3 linked regions of the Tribolium castaneum genome follow. The protein of the gene in region 2 binds, or shares a complex with, the protein of the main gene of each other region. Links are inferred from orthologs where the notes say so. Each region holds a gene or a part of one and is shown on either strand. Other genes may lie near its edges.

Region 1 (4,930 bases), on a different chromosome or scaffold from region 2:
AAAAATCTTAAATATCTCGAAAACGGTTAAACTTAGGTATAGGGAAAGCTGATAAAAACGGCCTTAAAATAACTCAACTAATCCAAAAACGCAATAAAAAACATAGATTTCCATTTAAAATAAGAAAGTTAGTAGTAACTTCCGGTATAACCAAAAGTGCCACCATCTTGAAAATATTTTCAAGATTTTCATTTCAACTGAACTCAACGGATTTTGGCCGAGTACCAACTTTCAGATAAATATCTTTATTAGAACTTTGGGGTTTAGACGAAACACGCTGTGTATTCCATATCGAGTGCGATGTACACAATCACTCACCTGAAAGTGTACCAGTTTGGCCAACATCGTATCCGCGATAAAAACCTGGTGTAGATAACTACAAACCAACGACCTAACTTCCTGAAGTGCCCACTTTTGCCCCCCAATCGTACGATCCTCATCTGTCTCAATACAAGTTTCTAGTAGCATTTGAACAGCTGCACTTTCCTGTGCTGCAATGGTCGCCCGACACATCTCCTCTCTATCACTCTCATTTAAAACTTGCCCCGCATGATCCAATCTCGGATTAGCTTGCAAATGTTGCATTAGTTGGCTGCGAGACGACGCGAGACTTGCTCTCAACACCCTCAAAACAATCGCATATAAAGGGGCACAGCGAAAAACACGCTCATCGCATCGCATGATCTGGAGAGGATCCTCAGCGACATCGATTCGTGTCAGGTTTGAGAAATCATCGACTAGGTTTTTGACGGTTAGAACCCACAATCGGCGGGGAAGTACCGTATTAAAGCGTAACCATACGTCTCTGTACAGGTCTTGTAAGTAGCGTGGGACATTGTCATTTAGGATCTTGCGGGCGAATTGTGTGAAAATCTCGGCAAATGGCCATATATCTATGGCTTGCTGTTTGAGTAAAGTTTGCATAAGCTTGGCACACTTTGATGGGTTAGTGTCCAAGTCATTGAAAGCCTCAATGACGCTTATTTGCGTCACGTGGGTTGGCTTATGCTCCGTTTTGATGGACATATCGTCCAACCAATCCTCCACTAGTGTCAAGTGGGGGAAATGCGTAGCTAGGAGTTTGAGCAACGGCCCGAAAAGACCCGAATAGGAGCTTTGGTCTTTTTGGGCGTGGTGTAGCAAGTATTTGATTGGTAGTTCCGATAAAAATTCGGAACTATACAACTTGATTTTGCGGTTAAACGCGGCCAAAATGTGGGCGTTAACCAATCGACAGTCCTCGTACAGGAGGAGATAGTAGAGGAGGAGGAGTTGTGGGGTGAGACTTGTACCATCCACCACAACGTCCTGATTCTCACTATTTAGGTCAAAATCCATGGTAAAAATCGACTTTTTGTGGTCGAAATACTGTCCAAAGATCGAACTTTGAAACACGCGCCGTATCTCATTCTCACTCAACGGCTTATTAGTCTCAGTGTTCCGTGAGGTTGGCATTATAACACTGTTAACGTACACTTCCACTAGCATTGGCAACACTGGATGTAAGGGACTAACACTCGTACAGATCTGCTTATAGATCCAGTTTTTTATATTCACGTTGTGTTTGGCAAACGCGCGCGATTTAAGCAACTGATGGATGCAATGTATGGGTAAAAACCCGGTCATATTCGCACTTAACGAGTTCGTAACCGGAACCTTAACCGCATGTGCGGTTACAACTTGTTCCGTGAAAATCTCCTGCGTGAAGACTTGCTTCATCCTTGTCATGTTGTTATGTCTGATGGGGATTTTCATCCCCAAAGTGGCACACACCAAATCACAGATGGCACTCAACTGGTTACTATGAAAATGTATAGCCATCAGTAGTAACATTTCGCCAAAACTGGCAGTAACGCCACTGGCCGACTCAAAATACGCCTCCTCCTTCACCAACCATTGCACCCACTCGATGCTACGTCGCTCGTGCTCTTGCAGCGAAATCAGCGAGGGGCAGGCAATCAACATGCACAGACCAATGGAAACGAAGCGAACGCCCGCCGGGGTGGGGCTTGGGTGTGACGTCAACAGACGCACCAATGCCGTGACTTCATCCTCCTGAAACTTGATTGCTGCGATCCCGCGAAGCGCACAATAGAGGCGCAAGAGGGCGGAGCCTTGAACCACGAGACTGTCCAATAGGTGGCCTTCGACAGAAGCGGCGAGAATCACGTGCAAGCGACGTAACAACTCCTCCCTTAGTTGCAAAAGGGCGGTGCTTGAAATCTCCCCCTTCTTTTTCTGTCCAGTCCGGATAAATAACGCGATCCAGTTGCGTATTGTTTGGTCGTTGCCTAGCAACAGCCCGGAGATGAACGCCACCATGTCCCCCTCCCCGCCGTCCAGAGATAGTGTGATTGCGAGCGCGGGCATTCGGCACAATTCGACGCACTTGCTTCGGATTGTCAAAGCCTGGCTCGGATTCATTTTACAGAGGAGGGAAATCGTGGCGGCTCGGACTGTGCTCAGTTTGGTTTCTTCCTGTTTTTCCCCCGTTTGGATCAAGTAGGTGCAAACCTCTCGGAAGCAGTCGGGGAAGTTCGCCACGATTCGGCAAATGATGGGCGGGCCGTTGTGCAAGTGGAGGAGGGTTTCAGTGATTGTCAAAATGTTTAGAGTTATGGGGAGTTCAGCCAAGGCTATGCAGATAATATCGGACAATTCCTCGGCGAAAATGTCGTTGTCGAACAGTTCCGAGGGCTTGATGTAGCTCGTGTCCGAGTTTTCGTCCTGGATTTGGCTCTGGACGTAGAGTAGTTCCCCGAGTAAGATGCTCAAACGGCGGGTCATGTCGCTGCGTTCGTACTCCAAGGCCATGCTGGTGTTTGATAAGTTGCCGATCAGGATCGAGTCGTTCTGGAGGGCTACGCCCTTCTGGCGCAGCTGCTGCTCCTTCTTGACCTCGGTTTCCAGTCGATGGAAATCGATGGAAAGAAGGGCAACGATCGAATTGACCAGTTCCATCCCGGACACGATTGTGAGAATGTCGACCTTCATGGTGGTGCATTTTTTCGACGTGTCGAGGGGCGAGATGAGCCCCATTCGCACGAGACAGGGCAACACGGGGCGGATCTCCACCTCGGTGCATTCGGACAGCTGGTGCATGTCCACGTTTTGGATGGCGCGGAACACCTTGGGGTCCACGCCTTTCTTAAACGACATTTTCACGCACAAACCGGCTTTGTTTACGGCACTTTTGGGGTTATGTGCGCTCTCGCGACAGCGATCTACTTTACCGGCTCCGGCTTGACCACGATTTTGAATAAAACGATAATTAATACTTGATTGTTTTATTTATTGAGGCTGGTTGAGGGGTTTTGGCTTTAATTGCGCCCTTTGGGGGCATTCTACGGCTTGGATAGTCGTTAATTAATTGATAAGTGTGGTTATGTTTTTTGACAAGTGTCAACTGGCCTAACGTGTCTCAACTGGTCTGAACCTGCAGTTATTTTTTTTGTGGATTTGGGGCCAAATGACATGGTTGAATGAATAGATTGCGACGACTTTTTGGTTTTTGGTCTTGTGTTTATTGATTTTTTGGCACTAGGCCAATTTCCGGGCGCTAGAACATTGCACAATTTTGCTACATTTTCCCTTTTTTGCGTGTAAGAGATAATAAGGCCATTCGGTGGCTGGAAGGATGAATGAAAAAGCGGCTACTCCCAATAAAATTTATTAGAAAAAATGAATACACTACATTAATGTTGCTTTCTCCTGAAGCTGCAGCCCTCCGTGAGTCGGGCTTTGCCCCCGGTGGATGTGCACAGGATGGTGGAGCACCCTTTGCAGGGGACTGCAGACTGGGCATGGGAGAAGATGGTAGAGATGGCGTAACATCCTGGACATTTTACGTCCATGAAGTAACTATTGGGATGTTGCACCAACCTCTTCTTCTTATGCGATTTCTTCTGTTTTTCGGCAGAAGGGTGCAATAAATCGACTGCTAACGGCATCTGGAAAAACACAAACATTGCTCAAAATACGCCAAAATTTCACCACAAACACTTGACTAGGCATGTTTTTGGTCGTTTTACGCTTTTACGTACGTTTTTAAACGCTTGGGACACTCAAAAAGGCTGATTTTTTCCACAACGCACGTGGTGACTTCGGCTATCAACCGTGTAAAGGAAAGTGACAGATGACAGGCGGTACCACCATAACGCCGTCTTACCAACACAACGAGCCGAAAGAACCCGCCTTAATTGATAAATAAATAAATTATTGATTGACCATTTAACCGTGCGCCCCTTGGACTCAATAAAAACGTGGCTCTGACTTTAATGGGGGCCCATTAATTCGTAAAAAATGCAGCTGTCAGTTTTGACAGCTGACCTAACCTTGGAACCACTTACGGAATTTTTACTAAACAATTTAATAATCAACGAGCAAAGTACACGTCCGTGTAGTTTACAGTACATCATGTTCGTTTTCACGCGAATTGTGGCCCAAAATGGTAATTTTTACCTAATTCGTCTAAATTTGTTTATCCACGGCCGTCTTGATTGCAGTCAAATCGCGGGGCATAGCCTCCCTGGCAGCCCTCTCTGAGACGCACCAAATGTTGCAAAAGACCTGTCGCGACTTTGCCGACAACGAGCTAAAGCCCATCGCGGCGAAAATCGACCGTGAGCACCTGTACCCCAAAGAACAGATCCGCAAAATGGGCGAATTGGGGCTCATGGCCGTGGCCGTCCCTGAAGAATTCGGGGGCACGGGCCTAGATTACGTGGCGTACGCCATCGCCATGGAGGAGATTTCCAGAGGGTGCGCCAGTGCCGGTGTTATTATGTCTGTTAATAATTCGTTGTATTTAGGGCCGATTCAATATTTCGGAAATAAAGAACAGAAGGAGAAATTTATCGCGCCGTTTACGAACGGCGATAAGGTGTGTTGTGTTAGTTGAGGCAAAGGGGCTCATTTGGTGTTACAGGTG
Region 2 (4,837 bases):
AATACAAAAATGTTTGAAAAAATAATTAAGGTTTGTGAGCCACAGCCAAGCACGTCAAAGATTAATGAAAATGAAAAAATAAACACAGCTCACAACAAAAATAGTGACGCAAGGCCTAGTAGTTCGCACGTTAATAAAGATAAAATTGAATTAGATGAAAAAGACACCAGAAAAAAACAAATAGGAGAAAGTATTACGATAGCAAATGAAGAAGAGATAATAAAAAATAAACGAAACATAACGAAAAATGTCAATAAAGACATTACGGAAGAACCTGTCTCAAACAAGAAACGAAACAAGAGGGAGAATCCGCCGAACCCGAAGAGGATTAAACTAAAATCGAAGGAAAACGAAATAAAGGACGATCTAGCCGCTCTCAATGCCATGCCGAGTGTTAACGACATTTTTCGAATGGATAATGAAATTGGCGTAACGATTGAACAAAATAAACCCGAAGAAACCGAACCAAGTCAAGTGCCTTCACAGCGGACAAAAACTCGCCAATTTTTGCATAAATTTCGGTTTGTTCCCAAAGAAGATCGACCTCCTATTGCCGATGAAACTACGTGTGAAAATTTAGAAATTTCGTTCAAGGATGTTAAATCTAGCACGATGTTAGAACCTGAGGAGAATGTTAAAAAATTCAAGTTTAAAAAAGCATCAAAGCATGTAGAAATGTTCGAATCCCTTGAGGATTTAGATGATTTAGACTTGGATATTTAATTTTTATATTTAATAAAATAAATCAGACCTACTTAACATCCCGATTGCAAATTCAACAAATCAATACTTTTGGTAATGTTACTGGTCGTATTTAGCGTCGATTCCATTCCTAATTGAAAAACCCTGGTCAGAATAACCTTGCCATACTCCTGCATAACTGAAACCAGGTCCGAAAGTCGGTCCAAAACACTCGCGACCACGTCACCATTTCTACTATCCAGACAAGTTAAGATCACTGGAAGTGCATCTGATGCTGCGTTCGGATTAAATTTTAACCACCGCACTATTAGTGTCAAAGCCAACGACCGCACTGCCCCACTAGACGAACTAATATAATTGTACAAGTGTTGAGACGGTGTCTCGAGCAAATGCGGTTTCTTGTTTGTTATGTGGTCCAGTTCTTGCAAAATGTTGAGATTCTCCGAAGTCTGGATAGCTGTGAGGAGTTGGGACCAATGTGGGGGCAAGGGGTCCATCATGGGGGACATGGCAGTACGGACGAGTAGCTCGGGGGGAGTGCTGGAATCCCCCACCGGGAGAGTCACGTTGGAGAGAAGGGGGCGCACCCCTGGTTGAATCATCTGAATATCACTAAAAAAAACACTCTAGACACAACTTAAAAAATTGAAAAACCTACAGTAAAACTGAGCCATGCTCTTGCAAATAGCGGGACGCCGCCTTGATGTCATTAGTCATCCAGTTTTGTATAAAAGTGATAATTCTTTGCACGAGAACCGACAAATCTTTCATATGCCCGTGATATTGTAACAGGAGAAAATAGGAATCTAGAATGTCACACAAGGTGCGACTTTGCTCGAAAACTATCGGCTCCAACAGTTCTAAAAGCCCCAAAACTTGTCCGAACAGCAACAAGTGTCCTCTATTTTTCAAAACACCCCAGTCATACTGTGCCCTTCCTTTCAAACTCCCGGCCAACATCGGGAGTTGTCGCAGGACCAAAACCGGATGTGTCGCTGCCAATTTCCGGGCACAAAGCTCCAAATCCTGGCTCTTCCGGGGCCAGTCCTTACTCCTCGGAGTCGCTGCTAACGCACTCAACAAACAATGCGAGATTTCATCGGCTGAACTCGTACAATTTTTCGCATACGCCTGCTTCGAAATGTTATCTTTGCTATTGATCAAATCTTGACCGGAATACGGCAGCGACATGTAAATCATCAAGAGAAGCTCCCGACAGTGCGTATCACAGTCGGACTTCTCCAAAAGTGTCCCCAAAATCTCCGGGGCGCAGTTTCGGATACACTGCAGTAAGAGGACGAGCCGCGATTCCATTTTCTTCGACCAGTTTGCCTGGTTTTGCTTGCTTTCCTCCAAAATATAACCGACAAGGATCAGGGCCTTGTCTTTGCCCAAATCAAAAACGTCCTCCGAATGGTGGTGTTTGGGAATGGCTTTATCGCGCCCCTGCCACAGCTTCGGGCTCTGGGTGAGGGCACAGAGGAAATCAAGGGCGGAAACAGGGCAAATGTCCGAATTGTCCTCTTTTAGCAAATAATTCATTATCACGTGGAGGCTCTGCCAACTCGCCCTTTGCAAAACCAGCGACATAAGAAGCGGCCTAAACGGCAAGTTGTCGCGCGAAAACAACAAATCTTCCTATAAAATAATTCGATTGATCGTGATTTTGAAAAAAAAAACACTCACTTTCAATTGTTTTTGCGAGTAAGCCACTTCCAGTTGGATTGTTGATAACCAGTCAACCATCATGTCAGTTTTTTCTTCCTGTGTTTTCGCCTCCGATATCATACTTACCAATTTCCGTTCGCCTTGTTCTTCAGTTTTGACTTTTTGGTCGTTTTCGTTTAAGAATTGCCTCAAAACCGAATAAGTAATATTGTGAACGTCTGTCATGTGGTTGAGGAAAACCGTAGCCATGGTTATTTTGTCAATGAGGTGGTCTTTTGACGAAAATAACAGGCGGAAAAGCGTTGAAATCGAATTGTGTTTATGGAGCACAGGTGCTATGAAATTCATCGGTAGTGATTTCAAATAATTGAAAATAACGTCCAGTGATTGTTTCTCAAACGCCATCTAAAATTGGAATCGTATGAATTGTCTCGGACTTTTACCTTTACCTTGGTCACAGTGACAATGTCCCGATCTTTCGAACCGCCATAGTTTGGGCTAAAAATATTATTCAACAAATTGATAATATCGCCGCTATTTGTGACAATCTGTTGGGTTTTTACTAAGTTGGGTAATTGTTTTTTACTCTCGATTTCGATTTTAACATCAATGTCTTGTACAACGGGCATTTGCATCTCGATAGCCTTGACAAAGGTGTCACCACCCACTGCGCCTCTTTTGTTTTGGACTTCCACCAATTGAATCATGTAAGTTTTGTCCAAAACTGAGTCCACGACCAGTTTCGGGTCCAAAAGTGTGGCTTTGTCCAAAGTACTCAGCAATTTACTGATGGAATTTGTCGGTATTCCGAACGATTGTATAAAAAGGACCAACTTTGGCGGCTCTAATTTTTCAATGGCTGCGTCAACCAATCGTGGGACGTTTGACCGAATCATCCGCAGTTTCATCCAATCAGGGAGATACGACGTTCGTTCGTTTGTATCAGGTGTGTAGGCTTGTGGTTGTTCGGCGTTCGCCGGAAACCAAAAATTTAACAAAGTCTCGAACGGCTCAAAATTCTCCAAAGGACCGTAAGTCAGTAACACAATAGCTGCGTGTATTACTAAAGTCTGCATGTGGCATTGTTCCCCAGTCACCCAAGTCACCAAAACATACTCGCTGTAGTTTTGCACCGAACTGTAAATATCCTCCGAGAATTCCTGCGCTTTCTGAATATGACTCGCAAAAATGGTCAAAAGGTGCTTCAAAGTTTGGTTGTCCGGCCCTGGCAACACGTACGAAGCCACGCTGTGTCTCTCGATAATAACCGACGATAAATCGGCGATTAATTCGTGCAGTTCCGTAAACGAATCGTTACAATCCTGCGTTGCCAAAAAATTGATATAACTCGAAACCCGCGCCGGATTTGTCTCAATTTGCAAGGCTTGCCGCAAAAACTGTATAAGCACTGGTTTAATCATCGTAAAGTGTGGAAAATGTGTTATGTAACTCGTCAACCAGTTCGTATTATTCGTCTCGCTTTCCTCCCCTTCGGCCAAAATCAAATTCAAGCCTTTGGTGGCCTGCGTCCGACTCGCCCCATGATCGGACGTCAACCGCCTGAACAAATACTCCAAAACCTCACAGGCAGTCTGCGGATCATTCTCATTAACCACCGTCCGCAAATGCGCCAAAAGCTGGCCATGTTTCGTCAATTTCTCCGTCGGTGTCGTCGACAGGAGATACTCGCACAGACATTGCACAGGCAGGTGGGCCAACGCCCCCTCCGAATTGTGCACCAGCTCGGCCAGCCACGGCATATGCGCGGTGCCCCCTTGCCGCGACATAATGTCCAATAGAAAATCGGGGTTCCGCGAGCGGCACAATAAATGTCCCATGCGATGCGTGTTGTTCAAGTGTTGGAGCTGGTCGAGGACGGCTTGGGGGGGCCTTCGGGCTTCGCCCTCAGGCCGCAACTCCATTAATTGGGGCAATAGGAGACTGCTCTGTTCGGTGATTTCCATTTTAGTGCTCGCGGCCGCGAGGTGTGATTCAAATTCCAGGATTTTTTGCTTCTCAAGGGCGAGGATTTGCTGCTCGCGGGACTGGTAGTCTTCGTCCAGGGAGGTCATGGTGGGCGGGGGAAACGAAAAGTGACTAAAATGGGGATAGTTAGGGTCAAGTATACGGGGATTGGAGGTCGGAGCGAAACGAGATACAAAATCGCACTCAAAAAATATAGTAAAAATTCACAAATTATTTGGAAAAAAATGTAGAAAAGTTGAGCTGACTGTGATGGAACAACGGTTTTATTTGTACGTCGTTTCATATCCTGACCTTCAAGAGATACTAACTTTGTTATGCACATTTCCATGAACATGCGCAACGTTGGGTATTTGTTCCAGACCTCGTTCCCAAAAGTGACCGGATTATGAGCCGCTATGATCAGCAAAATGAGCCAAACTTTCCAATAGAGCCCAGAAATGGCCAAACTGGGGGGCACATACCCCGCCGGCAGCGTGATATT
Region 3 (4,714 bases), about 4.2 Mb from region 2:
ACCGCAGCCCGCGCTATGCAATAATTCGCCCACAGATTGTTATTTTCAATAACGCAAAAAATCGCACTTTCGGTTTCTTCGTTCCAGGTGTAGTCAGACATGCTTTGGAAAACCAGCGTACAAAGCATGATTTTGATGCGCGTTTGTTGCTCCGTTGGTTGGTCGATTTCGGATAAAGCGCGCAATAAGTTGAGAATACTGGCGAGAAGCGAGAGTAAAGTGTCGGGTTTGAGGCCCCCAATAGCCCCCAAAGTCTCACAGATGACGATGGTACAGTCGTCTGTAAAAAATCGATTTGATTTGTTCTTGAACCATAATTGAAATAACATACTGTGTATGTTGTCGAGGCGAGTGCCGAGCAGTTCCACAAACGTCTCGCAATATTCTCTCCGCGCTTCGCACAGTCGAACAGCACATTTCAGTGCCAGCTTGAGCTGTTTTGGGTGTTTGTCGTTCGAAAAAGTCAAAAGCAAAATTAAAGTTTCGAGGGCCGAAATCACTTCGTCCGCTCTTTCAGTCTCCAGTTTCTCCTTGTAGCTAAAAATACGACTGTTTTTTGTTCTTCCTGGGTAACGGAGGACTAAACTATTAGGGGGCGACAGGTGTAAAAGTCAGTTTTAAAATTTTGCACAATAAAACGACAATTTAATTTGAAGCAAGAATCAAATAATTAAAAAAAAATACAGAAAAATTGCCTTTATTTTAAATGTGTATTAGAATAGTGTAATTACAAATACTTATTAAGATTTCGTTAAAATGGTTTCTCTGGAATTTTTGCTCAACAAATAAGTTTTAACAAAAAAAAAGTGACGTAGGCGTAACAAAAATCAGTGAATCAGACAAACTTCTTTGTTTTCCACCTCGTAATAATTAGTTATCTCAAATAGTATATTTTGTACTGGTAACGTGTTATCCATATTCTTACACAATTCGTTGGCTAGTGTGTGTTGATTGTGGTTAGTGTATGCTACTGGATAGGATTTCAAGGGAGAAAAAAAGGAAACAATCCGGATTTAGGGGTCAGTCTTTAGTTTTTTCTTTTTAGAAAGATTACATTATTATCTAAAAATTTAATGGCACATTTCCAATCTCTAATAAGAGTTGAAAATACCTTTATTTGAGGTATTTTGAAGAGTTGTCTGTACCATGTGATCATTTGAATTTATTAGTTTTATAATTTGTATGAAAACGCTAATTAACATAATTAAAATCAAGCTGAAAAGTCAAAGTGAGTCAAATAAAACACTAAAAGGTGTCTCTGGTTAAATAAAAATTGACCTGTCTCGGGATGTTTTAATTTTTTGTTTATTTTCTGATACTCAGGGCAGCTCGTTTTTTAAAAATCACACTGTATATGGTATTATTAACACCTTGTACTTATTTTATTTTTTATTTATAGATTTATCATCTCCTTAGCTTCAAAAAACTTCTATAATTCTATAATTATTAATAAATAAATTACGGCGAATTCGATACTGAAATAAATATGGAACAAATTTCAAATTAAAAAAATCTCTTGTTTGGGCAAATTTTATTTGTTTCACAGCTTGCTAAAAAATTAAGTCTTAACATTCCCGCATCAAATAATTTAAGACAACGATTTTAAACATCATTTCGCCCCTTAGTTTTGCCCTCCGTACCTATGAGAAAACTCACCAGTAGCATAAAAGTTGTGTCAAAATTTGTATAGCTTGCACTGCGACTGTAGGCTGTGACGAATAACAATGTTTCATACACAATTCTCTCAATTTTGAATTGCTGTCGCGATAATCATGACACATTCGGGGCGATTCAGTCAAGACTTGAATCACACCTAATCATCAATTAATCAGTTTGCAAAACAAGACCTCAAATCGTCTTACCAAGAGCCAGGGTTAATAACCGGGCTTGATGCGTGTGTAAAGTAAAATCTATGATATTGTTGGTGGCCCCCGGGGGCCACAAATGAGCCCCCGGTTTGGCGAACTGGTACAAAAATTGCAAACATCTCGACTTGACTTCACTCCCCAAGTCTTTGCGTAAATATTGCAACAGTAAATTGACCTAAAAGACAGTTTTGGAGAATATTGGAAGACAAATTAATGAAATTACTTGACTCGGGACGTCAACTAGAGTCGCCGTTGCCAACTGGGTAAGTGTGTTTAGAGTGACCAAAACGAAGTCTTTGGCTGGATAACTTGGCAGTAAATCGATACAGAGTGTCCTCACCATCGCAGCCGTGTTGGTATCATGGTGCATGTATTGTAAAATTGGGATTAATTGTAATTTCATGCTGGCAGGCGTTGACTGGCCTTGGATCATGTCAGAGACTTTGTTGCACATGCTTACGGCGAATGTTCTACAAATTATTGTTAAAATAATGAATTCTGAGCAACTTTTACTACTTTGATTGGGCGGCAAACTGAATAGCGGCGTAAATTGCAGCTTGGACTTCCACATTATCGTGAGAATCTAGACTGCTTCTAATACTGTGGTGCACTTGCTGTCGCTCCGGAATGATGGCAGCCACGGCCCCAAACGTCCTCAGCGTCACAGCACGAGCAATAGGGTCATTACTATGAATCACACTGTAAATCCTTCTAACGAACTCATCAACACTCGAAATCTTATCTAGATGTTTTTCGCTTTGTTGGCACACACGCAACACGCACAGTCTTAGGAAATTGTTACTAAAAACAGTGCCATTAAATAGAGTTATTTACAGTAGAGAGTTGTACCCCATGCGAAAAACTTCCGCTAATTTCAGTAATGACGCATTGATGAGGATGGGGAAAGGATATTTTTCGAATAACTTTGGAAAACGAACAATTGCTTCGCATTGCTCGCCCACTTTACCGGACCGGAGCCCTAAAAAGACACTTTTAAAGAAGGCACTCAATACCGCGCTTTGAACCTTTGTCAAGCTCGGTTAAAGCCGAATTGGCGTCTTGCTCGGGCTCTCCGAGACCGTTTTCATTGAAGGCACTCACGCGGACGCTCAGCATTTTGGAAAATCGCTGGAATGTTGTTAGTAGGCAAAACAAATATAACCTGGAATTTTTTTAATCTTACGGGTGAAATATTTCACGCCAGTTGGGTCATCAACTCGTGAGAAAATTACAAAGTGGGGGCCACATCGGCATTCATGTCACAAAATCAATAAACGCGTTCAACATCCAAACTTTTATTTTTTGGTGTTTTTAGCATAGTTTTTAGGTTAGTTTAACCTATGTTGGGAACATAGAATAAGAGAGAAAAAAATGGTGCTGGCACCAAGAACATTACAGTCGACCAGACAATCGCTGCGTGCATGGAGCTAGCACCATGTCCCCACTATTCTCGTTTTCTACAGCCAAGTTCACACCAGGCAAATTATCAAAATAATTGTAAATCATTATAAAAACATCAATAAGCTGTTACGCTGACTTGCATCTCACATTTGTAGAACATCTCCTGTATTTAATTTCTGCATTTTTTATTCTCATATTCAAGCAACGCAAACTGTTTTTTTTCACCCCCTTTATATCCTGCAATTTTCTTTATTTTTGCAGGGGATTAAGCCCTTCGATAGGGCCTTCGACTGTAAAAAAATCATGTTCGGATAAAGTCCCCTTGAGATCTTAATGAATTTTTAAAAATTCTTTAAAATTTTCATATTTCGCAAACTTTATCTTTAAAAATTCATTACAGTATTCAGAATGGCCCCCGAAAAGCGAATGAGTTATTACAGAAAAGGAGGAAAATAGTAAAAATAATGAATAAGAATTTTGCAAAATGCTCTTATAGAAAAGTTGTTGTACTTTATGTTTTATTACGTGGTAAATTTAGCACACGTCAACACGCCCTTTATAAACGATTAAACACCCTTTTTAATCAAAATGTTTAACACGAAAAGTTCAATTTTGTCCTATATACATTTCAATAAATCACACTGAAGTTTAAGTCGTTGACTCAAAGGTAGATTTATCTGCCCATAATATATTCAATCAAAATTAAAAACGCTCTAAAAGAGCAGAAACGAACACGAAATCCATAAAAATGAAAGATTTAACATTTCCAAATGATAACATAACCCTACTTTTAAAACCGAATTTTCTGGAGACCTAAAATTAACACAATTTGTGGCAATACCACTAATTTTCACACCAAAATTTCATTCACCGGCTCGTTTGTACTAATGAAAAGAGGAAAATAGTGAAAATAATGAATAAAAGTTTTGCAAAATGCTTTTATAGAAAAGTTGTTGTACTTTATGTTTTATTATGTGGTAAACTTAACACACCTTAACATGCCCTTTATAAACGATTAAATACCCTTTTTAATCAAAATGTTTAACACGAAAAGTTTATTTGTGCCCTATATACATTTCAATAAATCACACTGAAGTTTATATCATTGACTCAAAGGTAGATTTATCTGCCTTTCAATTCAATTTAATAATAATTAATAACGTTCTAAAAGAGCAGAAACAGACACAAAATCCATAATAGTGAAAGATTTCATATTTCCAAATGATAACATAACCTCACTTTTAAAACTGAATTTTCTGGAGATTTAAAAACACAACTTGTGGCGATACTACTAATTTTGACACCAAAATTTCATATCACAGGTTCGTTTGTACAAAGGAAATGAGAAAAATAGTGAAAATAATGAATAAAAATTTTGCAAAATGCTTTTATAGAAAAGTTGTTGTACATTATGTTTTATTACCTGGTAAACTTAACACTCGTTA

The links.
Region 1: the proteins of IntS1 (region 2) and IntS2 are in contact, whole or in part, in a cryo-EM structure (PDB 8RC4), measured with the Homo sapiens proteins. The link is inferred for Tribolium castaneum from reciprocal best matches to the Homo sapiens genes INTS1 and INTS2. Residues at the interface, in NP_001073922.2 of Homo sapiens: Gly561, Ile562, Ala563, Trp564, Asp565, Lys566, Gly567, Ser982, His1055, Met1056, Thr1058, Pro1060, Glu1095, Arg1096, Thr1098, Ile1099, His1102, Leu1107, Arg1225, Ser1250, Phe1251, Gly1252, Ile1253, Tyr1285, His1288, Glu1291, Val1292, Gln1293, Glu1295, Arg1296; in NP_065799.2 of Homo sapiens: Pro40, Leu54, Lys69, Leu72, Arg73, Leu75, Ser76, Gly77, Val78, Glu79, Val81, Asn82, Val85, Gly125, Thr127, Leu128, Glu131, His132, Glu166, Val172, Tyr173, Glu176, Arg322, Gln325, Gln326, Arg329, Gly400, Lys402, Thr769, Met772.
Region 3: the proteins of IntS1 (region 2) and defl are in contact, whole or in part, in a cryo-EM structure (PDB 8RC4), measured with the Homo sapiens proteins. The link is inferred for Tribolium castaneum from reciprocal best matches to the Homo sapiens genes INTS1 and INTS7. Residues at the interface, in NP_001073922.2 of Homo sapiens: Leu1378, Gln1381, Gln1382, Gly1385, Gln1386, Ala1389, His1429, Phe1430, Leu1431, Cys1433, Pro1434, Arg1437, Gln1438, Cys1440, Gln1441, Pro1476, Ala1479, Gln1480, Met1483, Leu1484, Gln1487, Arg1552, Pro1554, His1555, Leu1556, Glu1557, Glu1558, Pro1613, Ser1614, Gly1616; in NP_056249.1 of Homo sapiens: His150, Asp151, Leu187, Ala188, Thr189, Pro190, Val191, Lys194, Thr223, Ser224, Tyr225, Pro226, Ser227, Thr228, Asn262, Asp263, Pro264, Arg265, Lys266, Pro303, Tyr304, Gln349, Glu350, Cys352, Tyr353, His354, Asn355, Arg357, Ala360, Gln384.

Annotation. Positions count from the first base shown.
Region 1 is NC_087401.1:16,828,507-16,833,436, reverse strand, and holds the start of IntS2 (integrator complex subunit 2), read right to left. Parts: upstream 3,276-4,930; 5' UTR 3,160-3,275; coding exon 319-3,159; intron 1-318. Other genes in the region: RpS27 (small ribosomal subunit protein eS27-like), read right to left, coding at 3,696-3,950; Arc42 (short-chain specific acyl-CoA dehydrogenase, mitochondrial), read left to right, coding at 4,303-4,450, 4,506-4,882, 4,928-4,930. UniProt on the Homo sapiens protein: Component of the integrator complex, a multiprotein complex that terminates RNA polymerase II (Pol II) transcription in the promoter-proximal region of genes.
Region 2 is NC_087397.1:1,922,825-1,927,661, forward strand, and holds the end of IntS1 (integrator complex subunit 1), read right to left. Parts: coding exon 4,665-4,837; intron 4,468-4,664; coding exon 2,820-4,467; intron 2,776-2,819; coding exon 2,389-2,775; intron 2,341-2,388; coding exon 1,361-2,340; intron 1,315-1,360; coding exon 756-1,314; 3' UTR 724-755; downstream 1-723. Other genes in the region: DNA helicase MCM9, read left to right, coding at 1-723. UniProt on the Homo sapiens protein: Component of the integrator complex, a multiprotein complex that terminates RNA polymerase II (Pol II) transcription in the promoter-proximal region of genes.
Region 3 is NC_087397.1:6,155,440-6,160,153, forward strand, and holds the start of defl (integrator complex subunit 7), read right to left. Parts: upstream 3,247-4,714; 5' UTR 3,052-3,246; intron 2,997-3,051; 5' UTR 2,985-2,996; coding exon 2,894-2,984; intron 2,848-2,893; coding exon 2,718-2,847; intron 2,670-2,717; coding exon 2,385-2,669; intron 2,339-2,384; coding exon 2,092-2,338; intron 2,044-2,091; coding exon 1,863-2,043; intron 1,814-1,862; coding exon 1,657-1,813; intron 550-1,656; coding exon 332-549; intron 281-331; coding exon 1-280. UniProt on the Homo sapiens protein: Component of the integrator complex, a multiprotein complex that terminates RNA polymerase II (Pol II) transcription in the promoter-proximal region of genes.